Linked DNA regions of Struthio camelus. The protein of the gene in region 1 interacts with the protein of each later gene in a pairwise test. Links are inferred from orthologs where the notes say so. Each region holds a gene or a part of one and is shown in the gene's direction. Other genes may lie near its edges.

The links.
Region 2: the proteins of TRIM37 (region 1) and COPB1 interact in binary tests that used the Homo sapiens proteins (3 or more experiments, as listed by UniProt). The two-hybrid records come from large-scale screens. The link is inferred for Struthio camelus from reciprocal best matches to the Homo sapiens genes TRIM37 and COPB1.

What each region holds. Positions count from the first base shown.
Region 1 is NC_090957.1:18,435,072-18,442,946, reverse strand, and holds the start of TRIM37 (E3 ubiquitin-protein ligase TRIM37), read left to right. Parts: upstream 1-4,816; 5' UTR 4,817-5,029; coding exon 5,030-5,050; intron 5,051-6,544; coding exon 6,545-6,646; intron 6,647-7,875. Other genes in the region: SKA2 (spindle and kinetochore-associated protein 2), read left to right, coding at 96-182, 1,614-1,653, 2,445-2,577, 3,323-3,449. UniProt on the Homo sapiens protein: E3 ubiquitin-protein ligase required to prevent centriole reduplication. Probably acts by ubiquitinating positive regulators of centriole reduplication.
Region 2 is NC_090946.1:22,178,765-22,186,270, forward strand, and holds the start of COPB1 (coatomer subunit beta), read left to right. Parts: upstream 1-4,471; 5' UTR 4,472-4,735; intron 4,736-4,844; exon of another isoform or gene 4,845-5,117; intron 5,118-7,506. Other genes in the region: PSMA1 (proteasome subunit alpha type-1), read left to right, coding at 405-534, 1,220-1,299, 2,283-2,387, 2,910-2,966. UniProt on the Homo sapiens protein: The coatomer is a cytosolic protein complex that binds to dilysine motifs and reversibly associates with Golgi non-clathrin-coated vesicles, which further mediate biosynthetic protein transport from the ER, via the Golgi up to the trans Golgi network.

The sequences.
Region 1 (7,875 bases):
ATGAGAAAAGGATTAGACAAACATTGAGTTCTTCTGTAAATACGATCATCCTAGGAACTGAAAGTAACAGAATTTTCTTGTATCTTTCTCTCTAGCGCTTGCCTCTGTCAGAAGAAGAACAGGCTGCAGCACAACAATTAACCTGCCAAACTGTTAAAGAAATGGAATCGCTAGCGGAAGAGGTAATTAGGCGACAGTGTCTGTATTTCAGAAACTATTAATCCTGAGTAGTTCAACTGAAGTTGGGAGGGCTGTTATGACTTAAATTCCATTCCTTTCAGAGGTATTCTAAGGAATGGCGCTACAATTTTTGGCAAACCCTTTTTGTTTTGATTGTATGTTGATTAGGTTGCTGCTTTGTTCCAATTAAATTGTCCATGGTGGAAGAACTTGTTTTGACAGAAGACTTTTTTTTCTTATTTTTTATTGGGAAATGTTTGTGTTTATTCGCTCTTCTTGTTAGTCTGTTAACACATTATATAAGAAGCCTTTGGGTGGGAGTGAAGAGTGTAATTGCTTCAAGCTCATATATATCAAAATGGAGAGAAATTTAATTTCCTGTAAAATATTAAATACAGGTTGGAGTATGAGTAAGAGTAATTGAAGCATATTGCACATAATATATAACACAATAGAATGTAGATATAAATGATACTTGTTAAAAAGTCGGATATTTTCTCAAAGCTCCTGAAAGCACAACATTCTAATAGTGATAATCATCTGCAAAGACTTGGTATGGGTCTTACATTAAAAACAAAATATTAAAGAAAGTTAGCAGACTGTAATTATCTTACTGACCTTATCTTTTTCTACTTCTTCTCACTGCCTACTCCTTTTCTATCAAAGGATGTCTCTCTTTCTGTCCCTTTATTGCCACGGTTGGTTTGCATGAAAGACTTCCAGTATGATACTGGCTTTCTGCTTCATTCACTCTTCCTTTGCAAATATCTTCTCCTACCTTGATTAAATCCTCTCAATTTTTGTCTTTCCATTATTTAATTCTGAAGCCCTTAAGATACAGCTGGCATAAAAACAGACCTCGTGCAAAATGTAGCTATATCCTGCTCACATTAAAGGTTGTTTAATTGGTATGAGTCCCTATGTTGTTATTACGTGTGTTTTGAAGATATTCTAAAAGTCTCTGAAAGACAGAAAGAAGGGAAAGATACCACAAAGGCCCTGTTTTGGTTTTTTGTTTTGTTTTTTTTGTTATTGTTGTTAATGCTGAATTTCTGGCAGAGAAGAGTTAGATATAGCTACCTTTAGCTTGTCAAAACTGTCAACTCTGAGGGTTGCTGGAGAACAGGGAAGCCGTCTTTTTCCTTTGCTGCATGTGCAGTGCTTTCAGCTAGATCCATACTGGAATGCAGAGGAGAAAGCTGAAGAGGCTTATCTGACTTGCATATGAATCTTTTTGTTTGCATTTTAAACCTATTCTTATTTGAAATTGGAATTTATTTAACGCATAAGATTTTGCTGTTAACTTCAGTAGCTGTGAGATCCTTGGTATCCAGTGGTAAAATGTAGTTACTAATACAGAAATGCTCGTTGTAAAAACTAATTTCTAAATAAAATTTCAACAAATCCTGAAATTATCTCTCATTTATTTTTAGCCATTTAGTTCGGAATCTACAGTCCCTGACTCAACTGAAGGTGAGTGCTGGGGAAAAAAATCTTTCTACTGCTCCCTTTTCTTTTTGAGCATGAAGACTGATCCCCCGCCTCCTCCCACCCCAGGCCCTGTAAATAAGTTTTGCAAATAATATCAATCTTTCCTAAGGCTTCCATCTTCAGTGTTGAACTTCATATGTTTAAGTATCCCAGAACTATTAGAGTTACTATCTAGAATTCAGGGATTAATGAATTAAGCTGTTTTACTCTCTGAAAAAGACAGAGACTGTAAAAAAACCTTCAGTAACAGCACAGTAAATTCACTGTTTTCATTCTCTTAAGCTCTAGTAACTACTGCTTTTACATGAAGTGAAGAATTTATACTTTACTATAAGAAACTGAGCGCTTAGTTATATTCCACATGTAGCTCCCATGTCTCTGGGAGCTGCTCTTGCTGATGAGGGGATTTAAGTGGATCCTGTTGTGCCTCTAGTCTGGAAGAAAGAAAATGGTGTACTAGTTGTGCCATAGAAATAACTCTTGCTTAATCTGTTCATCCTTATTTATAAAAAGGAGTTTTCTTAGTGATTGTTTTTAACTAGTCTCTGACAGACCAAATTTATTAATCCATATCAAATTTCAAATTAAATTATTTTTCACTAGGTCGGCAGAAACAATGGTAGTTTGGAGGGAGTGTCTTCCCTCTCTCCTTCCTCCTGCAGTAAAATCTTTTTCAGAATCATTTAGGAGTTTTCTTACAAAGGTATGAAAGTACTATCTATCTGTGGCCTAATTTCTGAAGAAATAAATGCCTTCTATTTTCAATTTTCTAGAATCACAATTCAAACCATTGACTGAAGAAACGCTTATGACTGTACCAAGGAGTATCAGAAGTACTGTTAAGCTGGCAGACTTGAACAATTTTTACAGGGAGTTATTTAACCACTTTGTTATCAATAAGAACAGGTAAGACTTGAAGGAATCCATTAATAAGACTCTTATAATCTGTAAAGAAATTCCAGCCTTTTTAAACTGAATAAAAACAGTTGTCAACTCTGAAAGTGGTTAACTATTTGCTGCTCTACTATAACTTCAAAATTTGATTTCCCTCACTTATGCCTTTACTGGTTGGGTATATAGCCCAAAGTGATATGCCCTCCTAGGAAACTCCCCAAATTTATTTATATAAAAATGGTTTATATCGTTTGATAATTTTCAAAACTGCATGTCCAGTTCTTCAGAAACAGATTTTTTTTTTTTTTTAACCTTGGAGTCACTGAACAGATGTCCAAAACTGGGTCTACTCAGAAAAGTTTTGCTGACACAGTCATACTGGAAAACCTTTCTAGCTTTCATAACCTGGAAAAGCAAAACCCTAACCCAAATTCCTCACCTCAGTCCTGACCCCAGACCCTGACTCTAGCCCTTGACTCTGAGCCCTGACCTCTGTCTGTGATTTCTGCTGCAGATTTCTCACAGGCTGATGGTAAAGAATGAAGAAGCTTTTAACCTAACAATTCTGTCTTTGACACTGAGCTTGGACTGTTCTTTGAAGCAGCACAGTGAAATGGATGGCAATGTGCATAAGTGTGAGAATTGCAGAGCCCTTGCAAAAATCAGTCTTCTAAACAGTATGGGCTTTTTAGTCACTCTCTGGCAGGCCTGATGTTTGATACCCTGCTTTGCTGAATAGTTTGCTCTTGTCTTGCAGAGCAGCACTCAGCGTTTCACAGATGAACAAGATGAATATGAAAGCCACTGACTCAAGAGTACGCATCTTGAAGGAACTCTCTGTTGTGGAACTTGACAAACATGGAAATGTTAAATTAGTGGCGTAAATGAAAGCTCAGTCCATTCTTATTTGACACACAAGCATGTTGGTTATAGCTCCTGGATTATTAACAAGGAAGTATTTCTCTGATGTCTGGGAGTTACCAGTACACTGTTAGAAAGCTGTTAATTTTTCTGTATACAAATTCTATTTATAAAACTTAAAATTGCAGAGTTAAACATTGAGGTTGGAAATTTATCTTGGACATTTATAGGTCTATCGTAGATGCATTTTTGAAGAGTATTGTTAACCGTGTGACTTTTCCATATTCCTGTTTACATTCCTGAATGGGTTTTTACAATGAATAACCCAAACCATTTAATTGTACTTACATTCCTGAATAAATGATTAAAGCTAAGGAGGCCATAGATTTAATTATATATGTTTTTAAATGTCCGCTGGCCCCTGACCTTTTCGTTTTGCCTTGATGTGCGCTGTCTTTGTTACAGTCCAATGAAATTACAGGATCACAGAACAGCCGAGGTCGGAAGGGCTCTCTGGAGATCATCTAATCCAACCCCCTGCTCTGCCCGGGGTCTCTGCAGGTTGCTTTGGGTCACGTCCGGTTAGCTTTTGGGCATCTCCAAGGCTGGGGACTTCACACCCTCTCTGGGCAACCTGTTCCACTGTTTCACCACTCTCGCAGTTTAAAAAAAAAAAAAAAAAAAAGAAAAGTTTTCTAGTGTTGAAATAGAATTTCCCGTCCTTCAATTTGTGCCCACTGAGAAAGTAACCGACTTGCCCGTGTGACTCTTATAATTTGTGTTTACTACTGCACTACGGAAAGAGACAATCCCAAAATCAAAGCCAACACTTCAAGGAAAATCCTTTCCCTGCAGAGGATGCAGTGATCAGTGCAGCCCTCCGAATTCACATGAGCCACCTGTTTTTAAGCACTGAACTCTTCTATATACTTTGATATATTATGCGAGTAACATTTTTGTCTTCACTGTCAAATAGACTGTCTTCTGAGTGAAAAATCTGTATAAACATTTAATGTACTTCTGTCTGTTTTCAATAAATGTCATGCGTACACAGATAATTGTTACAAAAGGATCGCAAAGTTTGAGCTTGGATAAAAACAGGCGTTGAGGAGCGTGTTTCTCCTGCAACAACTGCAGGGAGTTTTGTTCAAAGGGCTCTAAGCCTTAGCGATGACAGCAGCTGCCCGCGGGGAAGAGGGCCCTGAGCGCTGCGCCTCTCTGGTAGGTGAAGGGGCTCGTCTTTGATTTCGTTAATACGTAGAGCAGGCCTCAGTCCGGTCAGTTGTGAGCGTTTGTGTCTGACAGGAGGCCGGCGCCGTTGGGGGGGAGGGGCAGCGCCGCCCCTCAACGGCCGCGGGCGGCGAGGCGGGGCCCCGCCTCCTGCGGGCGCGGCGCGTGCGCGTTGCGGCGGGGCAGGGGCGAGCGGGCCCGCTCCCGGCGCCGCAGGGCGGAGCAGTCCGCGCGCCGCGGCGAACATGGCCGGCACCTAGAGGGTGCGCGGCGCTGTGGCACAACCCCCTCCCTCCCTCCCTCCCTCCCATCCCGGGCACTGCGGCGGGGAGAGGGGCCGGGGAGCAGCTCCGCCGCCGGCCGAGCCGCGGCCATGGACGAGCAGAGCGTGGAGGTGAGCCGCGGGGCGGCGGTTGCCGGTGGCGCTGCGCCGGGGGGGGGGGGGGGGGGGGGCGGGAAGGGCGGCGGAGGGCGCTGCCCGCCCAGGTGCGCCTCTGCGGGGCAGCGGGCTGCCGTTCCCCCGCCGGGGGCCTGGCGGGGGGGGAGGGGGTTGGCGATGGCTTCCGCTCCCTCCCGTGAGGGGAGAGCGGCTCCTCTGCGGGCCTTTCCCGCCTGCGACGGCGGTGGGGAGGAAGGCTGCGAGGCGGTAGCGCTTCCAGGCGGCGCGCGGTCGTTTTACACGGCCCGGGTTAGCGAAGGTGTCCGGGGAGCGTGGCAGGTGCCTGTTCCTGAGGTGGAGGGAGACCCTGACACCGGCAGAACCGGCTCTGGCACGCGTGAGGGCAGAGCGCCCTGCGAGAGGAGTAACCTGAACGCCTTGTCTACCTTGCTGTGCTGAGAGCCGAGCCGACGAAGAGTTTAAAAGATGTAACGCGTAGCTTCCTGTAAATGCATCTGTTTGGTTTTACAGCGATTAAAAAGGACATCAGGGTACAGGAGATGCTGTGATATCTGTAAATTGACGATACGGCTCGCTTTGTGCCGATGATAGTTTTAACTCTGGAGGGAAAAATAGCCCATTTGAAAAAATCTTTCAAAGTTCTTTAGGTAAGGCCAGAAGGGATCTAACTCCTATATAATACAGGCTGCAAGACTTTCCAAACCTTACTCTTGTTTCTTAGAATGTGCCTTCTGGCAAGTCATGCAGTCTATATTTGGAAAATCCTTATTGGTGAAAAATCCATCAGTGTGACAAGCAAATATGGTTTGATATTTTGCAATACTTTCCTAATTTTGGGAATGGAGAGAGATGAAGTGGTTATATTCAAGAACAAATTACTTCTCTGTTGGAATGGGTATAGTGAAACAGTATGTTAAACCAGATTTTATTGCCCAAGATTAATTTAGTGGGGGGGGGGGGGGCAGAGAAATTGTGGATCTAATGGTAATGGTAGACCTTAAATTATTTTAAGTCTTACAGAAGTCAAGAAAATAACCTGTCCAATTCAACCCTTCTAGTTAACATTCTGTATGATATATACAGGTACTTAATGTGCTTTTGAATTGGTCATAGCGTAGCCAGTACATTGAAATTCATAGGCTGAGAATCTGCATATACAGCACAGTTGTTTCTGGCAACTGTCAACCATGGGAATACAAATAGGAATAATGGCTCTTGGCTACAGAAATGCCTAGTTGGTAAAAGATAAATCCAACAAGGAAATTCTTCCTGGAAGAAGCATAGCGTTTTAAAATGGACACTGAGTGCTGGTGGGATGTAAAAGGAAATGAGGAAGAGAGCCATGATGTTTGAGCCGGTACCCTACTCCAAGATGCAGTATGCATAGCTGTTTGGAATAGGACTCTATTTATTAAACCTGGCATTCTGCCTAGAAAATAAATGTTTGACGTTTGTGGCATAACAATAGCATTAATCTAACCTTTGCAGAGCATTGCTGAAGTATTCCGATGTTTTATTTGTATGGAGAAATTGCGTGATGCACGTCTGTGTCCCCATTGCTCCAAGCTATGTTGTTTCAGTTGTATTCGGGTGAGTTTACTTAACATAGTTTACTCTTGCACATGTATACACTTAAAAACTCAGAGCTACTGGTCTTAAGAACGCGTTCTTGCTCTTTTCCTGTCTCCTTTCCTGGGGTTCTGAGGATTCCTTTTTCCTCCTCTGTGCTCTTTATTTTCCCTTTCAAAAGCTTTTATGACACCCTGAGAGACTAGGCATGCTGTGCATTATATAAAGTAGTGCTAATTATAGTGATTATCTGTAAGAATTGCTTTTAAAGAACAGGCATATGATGGCCTCTTCTTTAACACCTCTTCAGAGTCAGTGATGCCTATATGGACAGAGGAAGAAGTTGGAACAGAAAGCAAATACTGATCTTTCAGATGTCTGTATGGAACACTGAAAGGTCATAACATTTCCTGTCATCTTGGAGGTGTTTTAATCCTGTTAAATACATTTTGAAAATAGTTACCAACCTGGTATGACATGATCACACACTTGTTAAAGCCTTCTTGAGGGAGTCTGGTATAGTAGGCTGAAGCAGCATCCAGAGTATTTTAATTCACTTACTAGGGTGATAGTTACCAATATATAATACTTAAGTTCCAAGTCCAGACTTTGCTATGTGTAGTGGATTAAATAAGGGTTCAGCTGAGGTTTTCAGACCTGGGATAGTGTTTCCAGAGCTCAAAGTAAACAATTATCACCTTCTTTGAAAGCTCTGCAAAGAACTACATGGGAGGTATTCATGCTACATAAAAAGAATGTTAGATGACCTATTGTTGGTGTGTGGCAAGAGATAGTTTCAACAGATATTTTCATGGAGAACCTTTAAGCGTAGTAGTGAGCTGACAAAAGATAAGCCTCTCAATTGCTGAACTTTTTAAAATGTGTAAGTTATACTGGACTGCTGAAGTTCCTTCCTGAGCTACTTATCTTTGAATGAAACTTTCTGGAAGAGAAACATTCGAACAGTCTATATAGATTTGATAATTGGACTGCAGATTTATTACTTGCGTTGTAAGTAGCCCAAGAAGAAAGAAATAAGTTACCCTGAAGACGAACATCTAGAGTAGGAAAAATGCATCTGCTATATCTTATGCTTTCTTTTGTTGAAACGTGCTCTTTAGTCTATAACTGTGGGAATCTGCAGTAGGTTTTCTCATGGAATATTAGGTACCTGAAGATTCTCTTTTTAAGTTTAACTAAAGTGTCTTTGACAACAAAGAAAAGAGCGATTGATTTGTTATTAAGATATA
Region 2 (7,506 bases), on another chromosome or scaffold:
GACATGCTTAAATCTACAGCAGGTTTTTACACTTGCACAGATCAGACAGAACGTGTGTGAAATATTTAACTGCAAGCCATGAGGTGGGAAGCATATGTATGCATGGTACAGCTTATGGAACAGAGAAAGAAAGATTTTTGGTGCCTGCTATCCTACCTGCATAAAAATTATGTTTCAAATAACAAAGTATGAAGGAGGATTGTTGTTTGTTTGTTTATTTATTTATTTATTTAGAATAAGACTTGAAGCAATTGGTAAGAGCAATGGTATGATAAACAATATAAAATATATCTGTGCTTAGACATAAGCTATGTGATGTATCATGAAGCAAATCTTTGTTTTAGAAAAAAAAACATGTATTGTTTTTGTTTGTTTACTTGTTTGTTTGTTTTCCCTTTTGGTAGGATATGGGTCCTCACATCTTCCAGACCTGTCCTTCTGCAAACTATTTTGACTGTAAAGCAATGTCCATTGGTGCTCGTTCACAGTCAGCTCGAACTTACTTGGAGAGGCACATGACTGAGTTTACTGACTGTGAGTAATGAAACTCTGTCTATCTGATGGTCTTCATCAGTTGCACAGTTTTTTTTCGTGCTATTGCTCCATCCTTTTGTGTTTAGTAAAATGGGAAGATAAACTTTGGGAGCCAAGTTTAGTGTAAGTGTAAATCTGCATGAAGACAATAATTGTAAAGAATACATTACAAATCTTCATTTCTAACATCTGGATTTTTGTTAGATCTAATGAAAAAGAAGTTTCTGTTCAGAGGCTGAGAAAAAAGTACAAAGTCTCCATCCTGTGTAACTCAGGGAAAGAGCAATTCTTTGTATTACAGAGAAGGCATAATATTTCAGGATGAGTCTCTAGGTTGTGGATTTAAAATCGCAAATTTGTTTTTATATGAAAGTTATTTGGAGGCTACTGTGTGTCTGGTTGGGGAAAAAATAGCTTGAGTATCACTGCACTGAAGACAATGCAGGTGCCAAAAATGGATGCATTTGGCCTGAAGTGTAAGGAAAGGCTCACTTCTTGAAGTATACTTTGATAACCAACTCTATATTCAGTACCGGAAATACATAAGGAGCGCAGTTCTGGAAGTCAAAATAGCCAGGTTGATTTTTCTAGTTGTCAACTGGGAATAGGAGGAAGGGCAAAAGAGTCTCAAGAGACTCAACTGTATTATTTCGTAAATGTCTTTCTAATTGCGTTTAATTTGTAGGTAATCTAAATGAGCTAGTTAAGCATGGACTGCGTGCCCTGAGAGAGACTCTTCCTGCTGAACAAGATCTGACCACCAAGGTAAATACTAGGATGTTTTTGTTTTGTTTTTGTTTGTTTTTGTGTGTTTAAGAAGAAATTTTACTGCCATTGTTATTAGAAATTGCTATGACAAAATTAATGTAAAGTATGACTGGCACTGAAATTTGGAAGCCAAATAGTGGTGGAGAGCGTCATCTCCATTTCATATGTGACAACTTTACCTACAGCTTCATCTGTAATTTTTTTTTGTTTGTTTGCTTACCATAATAAAATGATACTTTTGTCTAAGTAAGGCATCATTTTCCTGGCTGCTTGCGTAAAATATTCTATTTTAAGGTTTGATCAGTGTTTAAGATGCATTGAACACAACTGGATCATCACTTTGCTTTGTAAGCCCAATCAGCAATTGGAAAGGACTGGAAAGGAAGGGGGGAGTTGCCCCTTCAGTCAGAGCACAGCTATGCAAACAGTTGATTGAGCATCCAATACCAAAAAGATGCAAAGCCTCTGCCAGGAAATATGAACTGACCAGCTCTTGAACAAGAAACTTCTAAGCAGATCTCTTACCAAAAGTTAGTGTTATGTTTGTGGCTGATCTGCCCTTATCTGTGTTTAAGATTTTTACTCTTAGCCCATCTTGTTTTGTTAGAACTTTTACGATAAGGAAAAGGGAGGGGGGAAAAAAAAGATGAGAATCAGTGATTTTGAAAAATCAGGTATTTGTTATTTAAAATAAAAAATAGAAATTGAAATCATTGAATAGTGATTTTACTGGTAAGATCTCAAAGCATGATAGCTTTTGTAGGGAATAAATCTCCCTCTCTGCCTCCCTTTCCTTTTCTAGTACAACCTACCAAAAAGGGAATCTCGGAATTCCTCTCTTCCTTAAGTAGACACAATAGCAAAGTGAATCCCTTTATCACAGGAGGAAACTTAATGGCTTTACAGTTTTCACTTGTGAAACAGATTCAAGTTATTTGCAGAAAAACGTGTCTTACTTCTTTCAAAATTTTCCTTAACAGAATGTTTCCATTGGAATTGTGGGCAAAGACATGGAGTTTACCATCTATGATGATGATGACGTAGCACCATTCCTAGAAGGTCTTGAGGAGAGACCACAGAGAAAGGTTTGTGTTTTATATACAAATAAAGAGGCTTTGGTGAAAGGCAACATTTTGTGATGTATGACCTATTATGTTTAGGACATTTAGCTTTCTTAGTGTAGTAGGGTTTTAGGTATGCAGTTTTAAAATTTGACATTGCTACATGAAAACAGGAGGCAACATATCATCTTTGTCTAAAGACTGAAGCTGGAGGCTAAGCTGCTTATTAAATCAGTTTACGATAAATTGGCAGAAGGCTTTTCCAATGTCTTCATCTTCTTTCCTTATTTAAGATTACTTTTTTTCACTTTCTTGTAGCAGAAGTGGCTACATATGTTCCTGGTGTCTGTCCCAAGATGCCTCCTCAAGTCTTCTAATTACCAGCTCTATCCTTCTCCATGCTTGATTTATATAATACTGCTTGTAAGCTATTTGTTTATGTGAGCTACTTTTACCACTTGTGATACTCAATCTAGTGTAAAGCGGATATGCTAGGTACTGTTTTCTTCCCTTCTATAATATGTTTTTTTTTTTCTTCTCTTTAAGCCTGCTCCGCCCGCTGATGAACCTGCGGAAAAGGCAGAGGAGCCCATGGAGCACTAGTTGATGGATGAATTCTGCTGTGTGTTTACCTATGTATAATTATACAGGAACATATATCCATCTGCTGGTAACCTTTCTCCTGACCTATATGCGTCTTCTACTGACACATTCTGAGGATTACGCTATAAAAACAAACAAACAAACTAGCCCATCTATCCTTAAATGGTAGGATAGTTGGACATATTTTCTTTGACAAGAAAGGTGTTACCATTTTCTAAATAGTGCACAATACTGTTTTTTTAATGAAAAGCATACTGTCTTTAACTTGTAAGGACAAGTGGAAATAAATCTTTCTTGGAATGTACTGTTCATTTTTTTTTAAATCTGAAGAAATAGCTACTCAAATACTACTTTCATACAATCAATGTGCTATCAAGATGCAATCATGTACTATTTGTCACATTGAAACAGTAACTGATTTGTGAGCCCTCGGTTGCTTTATATAAATATAGTGCTCATGAAGTATTGCACTGACAGGACTTTGAATCCCTCTATTTACAAAGTAGTCCTAGAACATGTAGGATGCATCAAGCTTCCGCCTGTTTTATTGTGGTTGTCTCACTCGTGACTTGGACAGACATTTCTAATTATGAGTGTTTACTGGAATTATTGCAGACAGAATAAGCATGAAGCTGCCAGTAAGCTTTTTCAGTTGTGTTTTTTAATAAACCTCAGGTCTTTCAAAACTGAAATGAATGACTTCATTTCTTTAGGGCCATCAAACAGCCATCAGGTAGCCAAGGGCTTTTTTAGCTCACTAATGCATGCGCTACATGTAAGTAATGATGGAAACATATTAAATTGCCCTTTCAGGTCCCCTGACTTATCTAGTCTCTGTATTCCTTCTTGGTTTTGTCACTTTGGTTTGTGCTATAGAGTCTACCCAAGGACTCTGTTTAGTGACAGCTTGGATTTAAGTTCAATGTCACAAAATTTGATTGCATTTGCAATGCAATATGCACATATTGCATTTTCTGTACTCCATTGCTATTAGTGATCAGCTTCAATGAAGATTTTTCTTCCAAGTGTCATGCACGCACATCATGCGAACGTTAGACACTTTAATTGGGTTTTATTACACTAATAGCAGTTGAAGTGAGAAGAGTAATTTCCCATTTATAGCAGTGGCAGCAGTCTTACTGAAAAGAGATTTCTTTAGCGATGTCTCCGAGGGAAGCCCGTGTTTCAGGTAGAGATGCAAAAGACATTTGAAGCTACAGTGTGATAAACAAAGTGAATTTGGCGTTGTTTTTCCATTGTAAACGTCCGATGCATGTATTGATGTAGAAGCGGGGCAGGCTGAAGGAGCCCGGCCTGGCCTTCGCCTGCCCCCGTGCTGCCTGCCACCGTGCCACCTGCCCAGGCTGTCGCAGTGGACGTGCTTAGCTCTGCAGCGTCACCCTATGGTGCATATGACGTCACGGCGCTGACGCAATGGCGAGCGGGCCCCGGCCGGCCGCGCGCTCCTCGCTCCCCTCCCCCCGGCCTTCCGCCCGCGCTTCCTAGCGAGCAAGCGGTGACGTCAGAGGGGCAAGGCCCTCCCCCGAGCCGTGACGCAGCACCGCCCCGCCCCGCCCCGTCCGCGTTCTTGTGCGAGGGGAGGTGTGTCCCGCTGGGGCCGCCGTACCATCGATGTGGCCCGAGGAGGGAGCGGCTCCACGTCAGCCATCGCCGGAGCGGGTCGCGCCACTGCCGGGAGCCGCTGCCGCCGCCGCCGCGGGCCGCGCCGGACCGCGCCGCCACGCCACGCCACGCACCACACCAGCTGGGTGCGCAGCCCGCGCGGGACAGCGCTTATGGCGCGCGGAGCCCGCCCCACGGCGCCTCGGGCCCGGCGGCCTCGCCGGGGCGGGGGTCGCGAGCCGCGGGGCGGCCGTTGGGGGGGGGGCGGGCGGCCGTTAGGGCCGTTGCGGGGCCGCGGCCCTTCCCCCTACTCCGCGGGACCCCTCGGCTCGCGGCCGGCCGGGGCCTTCCTGGGCAGGCGGCCTGAGGGCCGCAGCCGGCAGTGCCGTTAGCGGCGCTGAAAGGGAGCAGCGAGCCCCTGTCCCGCGGCTCGGGGCTTCCTCGGCCGTGTGTGTGCTGGGGGGGGTGCGGCCTCCCCGGGGAAGGGGGGGGTTGCTGGCGTGTCTCGGAAGTTTTTTCAGGGGAACGGTAAGGAAAAGAATAAAAACCAAACGTTTTAACTTTTAAGTCATAGTTAATTGTGCGAGGTGTTTCGGGCAAGAATTAGTCGCTTGGAAAAGCGAGGAGAGAATCCCTTGTGATGTGGCTATGATCCTCTAAACTTACTCCGGGTTACTTTAATACAAGTTTGTGTGTTGTGTTTCCCAGGTGATGCAGAGGTGAAATGATGCATTGTTAGGGTTTTGCTCGATAAGGTATCTCCTTAACGTCTTGTGTCAGTGTTCTGTAATTCAGAGGTCTTTAGCTCTGTTCTACAAAGCTGAGTGAAAATAGCTGAATACAAAAATTTAGATTCCGGAGATATTAATAGCCAAAGCTTAAAATAAAACTCTGTCGTTGTAATTCTGCCAGCACCGTAACTGATGTTTAACTTCTGTGGGGATTCATTTGCTTCTTAAGGACGTTGTAGCTGGAGAGTAGGCATGTTCTCTTTGCCTCCTTGTACGTGCGTTGGAAACTGTGTTACTCTGGATTTCCATATACAAGTGTGGGTGTTTTCCAGTTTTATTGCTGGGAAAGTAGAGTAGCATCTGCTTTCTCCTTATCTGGGGTATTCTTGGTAAGATCAAATTTTGAATGGGAAGATGCTGGTTCCAAGGCTTGATGCTTCTCTGTGAGGAAGAACTGGTTGTTCCTGCTGCCCAGTCTCCCAGCTCTGTATTTTAAGAATTTCCCTTCACTGCTGCTTTTTAGAGCCTAAGAAATGGGTCTGTGTTTTCCTCGTTTAGAGATCTGTTTTGCCGTGATTTTGAAGGAGTTTCTGCAGTTGGACTCTTTCTACCTGCTTTTTTCACAACTGTATTTTATTATCTGCTTGATGAAGTTGATAGAAATGAAGATGCTAGTTGCAGAGCTTTGGGGCAAGAGCTCTGGCCAAGGGAATGGGATAGAGGGAAAGAGCTGCTGGTGAAGCAAGAATTTTCTTGTTTCTGAAAAATGCTAGAATTGATTTATGTAGCCATTTGTAGAGGAAACAATGAGCTTGGAGGATCTAATCCTTAAAAGCATAACAGAAAGAGGCTTTTTAAAAAATGTTGTGTTAGAACCCTTTTTTTGTAGTAGCAGAATTTGTGATACTGTTCTAATTGTGTTCTTTTCTTGTAGCTTGGGAGCAGTGGTGCTTTTTACTCAAACCTGTGAGCCTCTGAGGCAAAAAAAAAAAGGCTACAGCCCAAGTTAGCACAGCTTCCCTACTCACTGTTTAGGCTGAGATTCTTCAGCTGACCATTTGATAAGAAAAGGGACTTTGGTTGCAGTATCAGCTTGTGGAGTTACTCAGCCATTCGTTCAGACACTGCAACTCCTTGGCCCACTTTGCCTCTTCTTTTTTTGGAGAAGCAGACTGGGAATGGATGTAGGGTTTTTGTTCTCCCTTGTTCTTACTATTTTAAAAGTAAAGTAAGGGTGGTGGATTTACAGGGTTCACATCTCAAGAGTTGCCTCAGCACAGGTGAAGAGGTGATGTGGGGTAGGAACTAATATCCCAGGCAGTAACTTCTTAAACTGGCATGTTATTGAAGGCATGGTGTCATGGAGCTATAACCCTGCTCAGGCTTATCCAACTTCAGAGGATTCTTTTAAGTGTTGAAAGCAAACTGCAGTGAAAGTGTAACCCTAAATTGGAGAGTTTAGTGTTTTGATCTGTCATGCAAATCTCAGCCTGTGACAGAGATAGTTTAGTTCACTTGGCCCTGTTATTAATTAATAGCAATAATTACATAAAGCAAGTGTGTATTTTTATACGTATACATAGTATCATACTTTAAAGTAAAAAGCCATTTTCCCTGTTTTAATGATTTGTTAGCCTCAGTCTAAACTTCAAGACAATTAACTATAGTAAATGTAGAATGTGCGTACAAAGTAGTTTCTTCTCTGAACTTCTGTAGAAAATACAGAATTCACCAAGTAATGAAAACTAATAATTTTTTTTACTCTGCATTTCCGTATGGTACTGTAGTGAGTAGTAAGTGAGCAAGCTCAAACTGGAGTGTTTTCCATTATTTAGGAAATGGAATTAAAAAAAAAAAAGTAATCCCAAAATTCTATTGTAAAAGGAAGTGACAAGCAAAGAAAATGAAGATTTAAGTTAATGGTTCATTTTGTTATCTGAACTGTCCGCCACACAGCACCTTTAGTGGACCTGTAATCCTCTAGTACTTCTTCTTCATGCAAATACTTTCCTCCTATTGGTGACTAGAGGATCAGTTGCGCTGAGTTGAGCTGTTCTAATGATTTTTAGCAGATAACACGGTGGTCCTACTTTCCTCTCCGTCATGTCCTCCCTTCTCCCGTCCTTGGTTTCTGCTCTGTTGGATTTCACGCTCATCTTCAAAGCTTCCTTCATGGGCTGATTCAA